Linked DNA regions of Macaca mulatta. The protein of the gene in region 1 purifies or fractionates together with the protein of each later gene. This does not show direct contact. Links are inferred from orthologs where the notes say so. Each region holds a gene or a part of one and is shown in the gene's direction. Other genes may lie near its edges. The genes, in order: BRK1, ABI1 and WASF2.

Region 1 (3,611 bases):
GTGATCCAGCCTGGCAACAGAGTGAGACTCCGTCTCAAAAACAAACAAAAAAACAAATTACCACACATTTTATGGCTTAAACCACATAAATTTATTATTTACCATGTGTAGGTCATAAATTGAACACGGATAACTGGGCTAGCAATCTTCACACCTTGGCCTTCTGAAGTATTAGGATTACAGGCATGAGTCACTGCTCCTGGCCTGAGCTCCAATCAGGGTTTCAGCAGGACTGCCTTCCTTTCTGGAGGCTCAAGGAGCGGGTCTAGTTCCTCGAATATTGGGTTGTTGGCAGAACTCAGTTTCTCGTGGTTGTAGAACTGAGATCTCTGTTTTGTTACTGGCTGTCAGCTGAAAGTTGTTCCCAGCTTCTAAAGGTCACTTACATCCCTTGGCTCATGACTCCCTTCTTCCACTTTCAAAGCCAACAATGGCAGATTGCATCCCCTTCACACATCGAATCTCTTTTTCTTCTTCCATTTCATCTCTGACCCCCTTCCTCTGCCTTTCTCACCTACATTTGTGGACTTATGATTAGATTGGGGCCAAATGGACAATCCAAGACAAACTCTAGGATCTCAAGGTTCTTAACCTTAATCATACCTGCAAAGCCCTGTTTCCTCATGTATAATCCATATTCACAGGATCCAGGGATTAGAGAAAGGACTTTTTTCTTTTTTTTTTTTTTTTTTTAGTTTTGCTCTTTCACCCAGGCTGAAGTGAAGTGGCGAGATCTTGGCTCACCGCAACATTTGACCCCCGGTTCAAGCGATTCTCCTGCCTCAGCCTCTCGAGTAGCTGGGATTACAGGCATGTGCCATCATGCCCGGCTAATTTTTGTATTTTTAATAAGAGATAGAGTTTCACGATGTTGGCCAGGCTGGTCCTGAATTCTTGACCTCAGGTGATCCACCTGTCTAGTCCTCCCAAAGTACTAGGATTACAGGCATGCGCCACCACGCCCTGCGGGAAAGGACATTTTTGTGGGGCCGTTATTCTCTACTTGCAATACTTGATAGGAAATTCAGCAGATCCACTCTAAGGAACTGTGCTAAGATACTTCTCACTGTATCCATTTCCATTTGTATTCTGTGTATTATTCCTCTTTTTCAGTGTAGGAGTTGTGTGTGTCTGTGTCTGTGTTTGAAGTGACCTTAATTCTGAACACCAGTCTCTTTTTCTTAGATATGTCTTGTCGTTCAAGACTTGCAACACTAAACGAGAAATTGACAGCCCTTGAACGGAGAATAGAGTACATTGAAGCACGGGTGAGTTTGATGGGCCAGGGCATTCCAAGAGAGAATGCGCATTTCCACTTATTACTGAAAAAAACCTGAAAGCAGAAACAGTCTTAGGAAGCTTAAGCACTGGCCAGACATGGTGGCTCACACCTGTAATCCCAGCATTTTGGGAGGCCGAGGTGGCGGATCACCTGAGGTCAGGAGTTCAAGACCAGCCTGGCCAATATGGTGAAACCCCATCTCTACTAAAAATACAAAAATTAGCCAGGCATGGTGGTTCACACCTGTAGTCCCAGCTACTCAGGAGGCTGAGGCAGGAGAATCACTTGAAACTGGGAGGCTGCCGGGCGCGGTGGCTCAAGCCTGTAATCCCAGCACTTTGGGAGGCCGAGACGGGCGGATCACGAGGTCGGGAGATTGAGACCATCCTGGCTAACACGGTGAAACCCCGTCTCTACTAAAAAGTACAAAAAACTAGCCGGGCGAGGTGGCGGGCGCCTGTAGTCCCAGCTACTCGGGAGGCTGAGGCAGGAGAATGGTGTGAACCTGGGAGGCGGAGCTTGCAGTGAGCTGAGATCCGGCCACTGCACTCCAGCCTGGGCGACAGAGTGAGACTCCGTCTCAAAAAAAAAAAAAAAAAAAAAGAAACTGGGAGGCAGAGGTTGCAGTGAGCCGAGATCGCACCACTGCATTCCAGCCTGGGTGGCAGAGTGAGACTCCGTCTCAAAAAAAGAAAACAAAAGTTCAGCAGATTGCCTGGATTTGAACCAGGTTTCTGTGACTTCACAGCTATCTTCTTTTCTACTATTTCTCACTGCCTAGGATCTAAAGAATTTTTTTTTAGACCCCTCTAATCTTTTTGAATGTATCTAAATGTCAATTTTCCTTTCCTTTCACAGGTGACAAAAGGTGAGACACTCACCTAGAACAGTGACGTGCTGCTGCTGGGAAGTTGCTTTACACAACACAGGCCACATGGGAAAGGCCCCAGCAGCCTTCAGCTCCTTCCTTTCTCCTTAAAGAGCAACAGGGCTTATTCTTGTTTTTCTTTTTTCAAAAGTGTGGCCTTTGGGCTCTGCCATCTGGGGTGTGGTGTGTTATGTGGGGAGAAGTCCAGAGGAACTGCTGGAAACGACATGAGGCATTTTACCTTTTCAGTAACATTTTATAGATCTACTTGTCAATGTATTTGAGACATTCACAGCCAAAACCCTGGGACTCTTTGTGAAGGTCCTCCCCGCCTCTATCTTTCTTTCTCTCTCTCTCAAACTTTCCTTAAAGTTCTCATTGCCTTTGCACTGCTTCTGTGAACAGTCTTTATCTCCTCCCCACCTTTGGTGGGAAGTGGGGGGCAATCCTGGCCAAGACACTCATGCCCTGGCAATGTGGCTGCCAGAGAATGTTGTTGCAGACCCACCAGTTTCTTGTTGATTTGGGGAGGTCAAGGCCAGGCCCCCACTTGGCTTGAAGGGACATTTTTAGACTTTTCTTTCTGTCACTTGGGAGTGTCTATGCCTCCCATATTTCCCTAATAAACTCAACTTTTTATCTGACTGCTGTGATTATGGTGGGGAGAGGAGCTAGAGGTGGACTTACTTATTGCACAGAAATGTAATATATGGCATTATTATTCTAACATAAAACTTTCAGATGCAGCTGTTTGATTCAAAGCCTAGGTGGCTTACCAGCCCAAGTCCCCATGTTTGGACTCTGAGCTGACTAGCTCATCCTGGGAATCATTTGGTCATTCAGCACATTTACCAAGTATTTACTATGTAGGCATGTTAAACTCCAATAAAAGATACAGCATTGAATCAGACATGATGCTTACAGTCTGTTGAAATACCAGCATTCACACAATTTAGCCACAATCCAAGGCAGATTATTAGTTTTATAAAGGCAGAAGCTAAATGTCTACTTCTTTGAAAAACAGATAGCCGGGTGCGGTGGCTCATGCCTGTAATACCAGCACTTTGGGAGGCCGAGGTGGGTAGATCATGAGGTCAGGAGATCGGGACCATCCTGGCTAACACAGTGAAACCCTGTCTCTACTAAAAATACAAAAAATTAGCTGGGCGTGGTGGCGGGCGCCTATACTCCCAGCTACTCGGGAGACTGAGGCAGGAGAATCGCTTGAAACCGGGAGGTGCAGGTTGCAATAAGCCGAGATCGCACCACTGCACTCCAGCCTGGTGACAGAGCAAGACTACGTCTCAAAAAAAAAAGAAAAACAGATGGTTTAAACTTTTCATTTTGGTATCCAAAGCTTACTATAAACTTGTACCAACCAACTTCTAAAGGCTTATCCACTATATAGAATCTATTTTAGTCACACAGAAGTCATTATGCTCTGTATACACTGATTTCCCT
Region 2 (3,651 bases), on another chromosome or scaffold:
ATTTCAAAAATTTGTAGGAAACCCAGTGTTTGAATGCACATAAGTCTGATCTCAGTGAACATGTTTAACAATAAAATAAGATAAACAATCCAGTGATCTCACATGTATTTTGCTACAATGTGATATGAATGGCATAAAATAATAGGAAAACCAAGTGCAAGTGGTTCCTTGACTTTTTAAACTGTAGTACCAAAGTCTTTATTCAAACTGTCTGGGAATCCTTAATTCACATTCTGATATTAAAAAAAAATAATACATGGTGTTAAAACACAAAGAGAACAATTTGATATAAAAATAAAAGCATTTCTTTCTACATTTTAGCACGGAAATAACCAGCCTGCAAGAACTGGCACTCTGTCGAGAACAAATCCTCCTACTCAGAAACCGCCAAGTCCTCCCATGTCAGGCCGGGGAACACTGGGGTAAGAATTCAACTACATTTTACAGAAGAAATTCATATGCTAAAGGAAAAGATGTTTCTGTGACTTAAGTAAGTGTATGGGATCCATGCCACACTACCTTCTCTATGTGACACTACCTTTTACAAATTCATTTTAATTCTTGTTTTCCTGAACAGAATCCCAAATGAATCTGCTGGCTTTGTAATACTCTCTAAAATCTGTACCAGGAAAGTTTTTATATACGTATAAATGGCATTGTTTATTTTTTTGTCATCTAATTTTTAAAAAATATAAATCTGACTTGTTTTAAATGGAATGATTAGAGTATTCCAAATGGTGCCTTTGCATGTGTTTACAGTATCTATATTATAGAACTTTGACCAGTGGTCTACTTTTGTGTAGTGTGGCTGAGTCCACAGCTCTTCTGTTTCCCCTATTGGTGTCTGAGACTTAGGGACTCTTTACTTTAGGAAACTATGCACTTTATTTGTAACTATGCTTCTGCTGGTGTTCTTAGGCCTCTTTATACTAGAGTAGCTCCATGGGAAGGCCAGTTGGACAAGTAGAAAAGATAACAGTGGCTTCTTCCTTCTTAATTCTTAGTGTACTAAATATAGCGAATACTTGCTAGGGCATTACGTTTCTTTAAGGTTGCTTTTCTTAATACTGGGAATATTATATTGGATTTCTTATATTTTGGTGGAGGGGTTGTTCAACAATCAGTCTTCTTTTAAGAAGGTCTTAGTTTTCATTTTTATTAATTAAACCCTCCGCCCCTGAAAAAAAAAAATGAAGTTATTAAACAGAAAAGTCGAAATCATTTATTGAGAAATTAATGATTAGAATAGAATGTATGTCTCCATTTATTGCCATATTGAGGTAGGAATAAGTTGCAGCTTCCTATATAAAGAAATTTAGCTTCCTGTTTAAAGAACAGTGGCTTATGAGTGACTGGACTGAGAATGATGTACATTTTAAAGTTTGATATTACTGAGCATTTAAAAAATTATAATTTTTAGAAATCAGGTTAGGACTTTAAATTACCCTTTCCTATGTTTTTCTTAGGAAAAGGAAACAAATTTTAGTTTTCATGTTAAAATAACAAAATTCATATATCCCAGTGAAGAATATTTTTTAAAATTACAAACTTTGTTATATATATTTTTAAATCCTGGCATACATGGTCACAAAGGGAAACTCACATATTTTTGGGAAAAATACAATTTTATCTTTTTTATTCATTATTCCTTTTTCCACTATGCTTCTTTAGACGGAATACTCCTTATAAAACCCTGGAACCTGTTAAACCCCCAACAGTTCCTAATGACTATATGACGAGTCCCGCTAGGCTTGGAAGTCAGCATAGTCCAGGCAGGACAGCATCTTTAAATCAGAGACCAAGGACACACAGGTAAGCCTTTAGGTTGAGTATTTGAACATCTCTAAAGTGGGTGTAACTGACTGGTGACAAACTCCTATGGAGGTGCTGAGTAAAGGTGAAGTGCCACTCTAATGCTAATATCAAATGTGAAAGTTGAGGGAATAATATTATATATGTTCCTGTAAATTTGTGTTATAACTTCTGTTTTTTTTTTTTTTTAAGATTTTTAAACACCTGTTTGTACTATTAATGTATTGTTTGTGTTTCCTCCTTTTGATAGAGGTACAGACTCTATCAGACTCTTTGGGTTAAGACTAAAGAATTTTTTTCTTTTTTTTGTGACGGAGTTTTGCTCTTGTTGCCCAGACTGGAGTGCAGTGGTGCAATCTTGGCTCACTGCAACCTCTGCCTCCTAGGTTCAAGCGATTCTCCTGTCTCAGCCTCCCAAGTAGCTGGGATTACAGGCCTGTGCCACCACACCCGGCTAATTTTGAGTTGAATCAGGGTTTCTGCATATTGGTCAGGCTGGTTTCGAACTCCTGACCTCAGGTGATCCACCCGCTTTGGCCTTTCAGAGTGCTGGGATTACAGGTGTGAGCCACCGTGCCTGGCCCTAAGAATGTTTTAAAATGCTCTTTTAAAAAAATTTAAGGCAAACCACTCAAATACTTTTGGAGAAAAGATTAACTATCATAGGAATTATACAACGTGATTTAAACTTTCAGAGATTGAAGGAAAGAAGATTGAAGTTAAATCTGAGGGAGACTTTCAAGAGAATCAGTATACTAGAATATGTTTTATTATTATTATTATTATCTTTTTGGAGATGGAGTCTAGCTCTGTCACCCAGGCTGGAGTGCAGTGACGCGATCTCGGCTCACTGCAACTTCTGCCATCCAGGCTCAAGCAATGCTCCTGCCTCAGCCTCCAGAGAAGCTGGGATTACAGGGGCACGCTACCATGCCCGGCTACTTTTTGTATTTTAGTAGAGATGAGGTTTCACCAGGTTGCCCGGGCTGGTCTCCAACTCCTGACCTCAGGTGATCTGCCCACCTCGGCCTCCCAAAGTGTTGGGATTACAGGCGTGAGCCACCGCTCCCGGCCTTGTATTTATTATTTTTGAATGTCCTAAAAATCAATTACCCGGTGGATTTTTTAAAATTTAGTTACAGAGTATAACATTCAGAAAAGTATCCACTTTATTAAGTATACAGCTTGATGGATGGACACACACTCATATAACTGTCACCCAGATCAGAAAATGGAACATTATCAGCAACCCAGAAGCCTCTCAAGCTCCTTCCCAGTTATTGCCTCGACCTTCTTCCCCCAAAATGTAGCCACTTCAATTTTTGAGTGCTTTATAAAACCAGATAAATTTATTTTATAACCAAATTTGTTTTATTCTTTAGTTTTCTCTCTCACGTAATAATGTGGGCAGGGAACCTCTCTTTTGCCTTCACTCTTACGTTGGTAAATGAGAGATAACTTATCAAAATGATTTATGGGAATTCCACTAAATAGGGCATATCGAGATGCGAGATGCTAGGTAAGTGGTATTTATTACTATTGCCACTGTTAGTAAACAAATTGTTAAGTTGATATCTGCAGATACTGTATCAAGTCAAGTTCTTTGAGGAACAAAATTGTTCTCTTTGTTGTTATTTGAACTATTGGATCAAAGTATAGGTTTTCTCTATAGTGGAAGCATAGTTTAATCATATTCAACAAACAGTTATTAAGTGTTGTTTCATTAGATATTAGGCATTTGCCAATAAGGCATAGTTCTTTTTTCAAGAGCTCATTCTATTAGAACAGGGATCAGCACACGTTTTCTATAAAGGGCCAGATTGTCAATATTTTAGGATT
Region 3 (3,462 bases), on another chromosome or scaffold:
TGAGAGATGTCTCAGCTAGCCCTTACCTGATAGAGGAATCTCAAGTCCACTTCTTTCAGGTAGTTTTACTCAATCTGGCTATCCTCCTCTACTGGTGGGAAGCTCATTACCTTACAAGGCTGCTTATTTCATTATTTGTCTGTTCTGACCATCTGTAGGTTTTTCTTTCTGTTTAAGCCAAAGTGAAATGGTATAGTCAACCAAGATAAACCTCGGCTTATAGACAAGGCTAACTGTAGGTAGGTGTTTGCATTCTAAGGGTGATGGTGAGTGTTTTTTCTTTGGCCTTTTAGTTACCCAGTGGACAACCAAAGAGGATCTGGTTTGGCTGGACCCAAAAGATCCAGTGTGGTCAGCCCAAGCCATCCACCACCAGCTCCTCCTCTAGGCTCTCCAGCAGGTCCTAAACCTGGGTTTGCTCCACCACCTGCCCCTCCGCCACCTCCGCCTCCAATGATAGGCATCCCATCTCCACCACCACCTGTAGGATTTGGGTCTCCAGGGACGCCTCCACCACCCTCACCCCCATCTTTCCCACCTCACCCTGATTTTGCTGCCCCTCCACCTCCTCCTCCACCACCGGCAACTGACTACCCAACTCTGCCACCACCTCCCTTGTCTCAGCCAACAGGAGGAGCACCTCCTCCTCCCCCTCCTCCTCCTCCTCCGGGGCCCCCTCCTCCCCCTTTCACTGGTGCAGATGGCCAGCCTGCTGTACCACCACCGCTTTCTGATACCACCAAGCCCAAGTCCTCCTTGCCTGCTGTGAGTGATGCCCGTAGCGACCTGCTTTCAGCCATCCGTCAAGGTAAATTTCAGTGGTGGGTTTGGGACTGTGGAGCCTTGTCTTTCTGAAGCTGGGATGATTGATTGGGGGGTGGGTGAAGGGGTCCCTTTGCCCTTCCCAGGAAACAGCTTTCATTGGGTGGGGAGAGATTGGGACATTAGGTCTGGGAGCAGCCTGAGAAAAGGCTTCACCCTGAAAATATGGAGATTTAGATTTCTTTCCACCTTGGTTTAAAAGTAAAGGATTCTTTTCTTTTTTTTTTTTTTTTTTTGTTTGAGATGGAGTCTCACTCGGAGTGCAGTCAGTGGTGCGATCTTGGCGCACTGCAGGCTCCGCCTCCCAGGTTCACGCCATTCTCCTGCCTCAGCCTCCAAGTAGCTGGGACTACAGGCGCCCGCCACCACGCCCGGCTAATTTTTTGTATTTTTAGTAGAGACGGGGTTTCACCGCGTTAGCCAGGATGGTCTTGATCTCCTGACTTCATGATCCGCCTGCCTCGGCCTCCCAAAGTGCTGGGATTACAGGCGTGAGCCACCGCGCCCGGCAGTAAAGGATTCTTAAGCTGGGATCTTTGAAGTCCTTGGAAATGTATGCTTATGCGTGTTTGCATGCATTTTTTTTCTTGGGAAAGGATCCCCATTTTTCATCAGTTTCTCTGAAGGGTTTTGTGCCTTCGAAAAAAACAAGAATCACTGTCCTAGTGGGCCTTTGTTCAACTGGACTCAGCAACCCCCAGCCTTCTTCACTGCTCTGCCTTTTGTGTCTTCCTTCCTTGCCCCCTGCCCTCTTTCTCACCCCTTTTTTCTCCCATTTTCTTTTATCTCCTCTTTTCTCCTCTTCCCTCCCCTCCCCTCCCGCTTCATCATTTCACCCTCCTGGAACATTTGAGCATTTGTTCTATCAAGGGGCCAGGTGTGGTCCCAAGGGGTTATCGTGGTTTGTTCTGTTTGTGATCCTCAAAAAACTTCTAGTCTAGAGAAGACAGTCTATGGCAGCTGAGCCCCATTATAATTGATGGAATTGGGCAGGCTGAGGATCTGCTGGATGGAATGTGGTGCCTGCTCCCCACTTCAAAGCCTCATGAGAAGTCCTTACCAGCCTGAAAGTGTGTAAACCAGAAAGGACAGCAGGCTGCCTTTCAGACACACCTCACCAGTTTCATACACTCATCTTCTGCTTTTCCATAACAACCTTCTTTTTCTCTGTCCTTTGCAATACCCCTTACCCACTGGTGGCCACTCCCCCTTACCCAGTTCCAGATGGATTCCAAGGCTGAGGACACGCCTTCCTCACCCCTCTGTCTCTTTGCCACCAGGTTTTCAGCTGCGCAGGGTTGAGGAGCAGCGGGAACAAGAGAAGCGGGATGTCGTGGGCAATGACGTGGCCACCATCTTGTCTCGTCGCATTGCTGTTGAGTACAGTGACTCAGAAGATGATTCCTCTGAATTTGATGAGGACGACTGGTCGGATTAACGCTTTCTGCCTGCTGTCCACCTTCTTTTTCTTTCCTTCCTACCTGCCTTCTTTGATGCCAACCCCAACAGATCCGTAGGGGAGAAAGGGGAGGAAAAAAGTAATTTTAAGGGGCCAAAGCTTTCCCTGAAGCAACCAAAGATATATCCAAGTGCTTCCTCCAAATCAACATGTATTTCCTCTCCCCATTGTCAGGCCCTTTGGGGCTCCTGAAGTTCAGTAGCTGGGATGTTCCCTCTTTCCTTCAAGTGCCTGTTGCATATTGAAGGGAAGGAGAAATCCCAAAGCAGATTCCTTTGATCAGGTTTCCGTTGGAGATGGGGCCTTCCCTTAGGAGCCATATTCAACTACAGTCTTCTAAAACCTGTGCCCTCAGCCACTTCAAATAATGCCAGCCACTCTCTGGTTCTAAAGCAGGGGGAGTGGCCTGAATGGACACAGCTGGCCCCTTTTCTGTGCCCTGAAAGGGCAGAGCAGGCCGAAGGCTCCAACGGCCAGACTGCCTCACCCTTTGTCCTAATCAGCAGGGTGGGCCTGCCTTGTGCTAAACGATCTCTTATGCCTGGGATGCCCTTTATTCCAGAAGGCATCAAGCCTCTAAAGAATGTCTCACCTCCTCTGCCCAAAAATGATGCCTTTCTGTAGGCTGGAGTTGTTGCCTCCCTCCCAGGATCCCTTTGGTGAGTATGGTGTTCAGGATGCACCACCACCACCTCTAGATGCCTTCAGGCAACACAGCCCAGTTTTAACCTCTAGTCCATGACCAAACTGTCCCTGACACATGAGAACAGGGGCCTCTTCTGGCTGTCAGGAGCAAAGCCTGAAGACTTGGAGCTGCAGGACTGGAAGAACAGCGGAGCCCCATGGGTCCCACCCTTTAAGGGTGCTGAGGCCTAGAGATGGGAAGTGACTTGCTCAAGGTCACACAATTGGATAGTGACATAGCTAGAGCCCAGAGTTCCTGATTCCAAGTCACCTGTGCTTTCTGGGACCAAAGAATGGGCACCTACTGGAGTCTGGGCAGAGCTTTCTCGGCTGTATTGCTACTCCAGACCTCACCATAGGTTGGGGTCCCAGTAGGAGGGCTCAGGGTCTGTGCCAGCCCTGTCAGTGCTGCTCAAACCTTCATAACCTCTCTTGTCATTCTTTGTTGCCCCTTTTCTGTCACCAACCAACCACATAGCCTTGGGACCAGCCCTTTT

Evidence for each region.
Region 2: the proteins of BRK1 (region 1) and ABI1 purify together in Homo sapiens (co-immunoprecipitation; 3 studies listed by BioGRID and IntAct, with this or other methods). This does not show direct contact. The link is inferred for Macaca mulatta from reciprocal best matches to the Homo sapiens genes BRK1 and ABI1.
Region 3: the proteins of BRK1 (region 1) and WASF2 purify together in Homo sapiens (co-immunoprecipitation; 3 studies listed by BioGRID and IntAct, with this or other methods). This does not show direct contact. The link is inferred for Macaca mulatta from reciprocal best matches to the Homo sapiens genes BRK1 and WASF2.

The regions. Positions count from the first base shown.
Region 1 is NC_133407.1:148,970,876-148,974,486, forward strand, and holds the end of BRK1 (protein BRICK1), read left to right. Parts: intron 1-1,185; coding exon 1,186-1,268; intron 1,269-2,140; coding exon 2,141-2,167; 3' UTR 2,168-3,058; downstream 3,059-3,611. UniProt on the Homo sapiens protein: Involved in regulation of actin and microtubule organization. Part of a WAVE complex that activates the Arp2/3 complex. As component of the WAVE1 complex, required for BDNF-NTRK2 endocytic trafficking and signaling from early endosomes.
Region 2 is NC_133414.1:28,134,116-28,137,766, reverse strand, and holds part of ABI1 (abl interactor 1), read left to right. Parts: intron 1-321; coding exon 322-422; intron 423-1,671; coding exon 1,672-1,812; intron 1,813-3,651. UniProt on the Homo sapiens protein: May act in negative regulation of cell growth and transformation by interacting with nonreceptor tyrosine kinases ABL1 and/or ABL2. May play a role in regulation of EGF-induced Erk pathway activation. Involved in cytoskeletal reorganization and EGFR signaling.
Region 3 is NC_133406.1:213,548,437-213,551,898, forward strand, and holds part of WASF2 (actin-binding protein WASF2), read left to right. Parts: intron 1-293; coding exon 294-808; exon of another isoform or gene 809-1,058; intron 1,059-2,102; coding exon 2,103-2,260; 3' UTR 2,261-3,462. UniProt on the Homo sapiens protein: Downstream effector molecule involved in the transmission of signals from tyrosine kinase receptors and small GTPases to the actin cytoskeleton. Promotes formation of actin filaments. Part of the WAVE complex that regulates lamellipodia formation.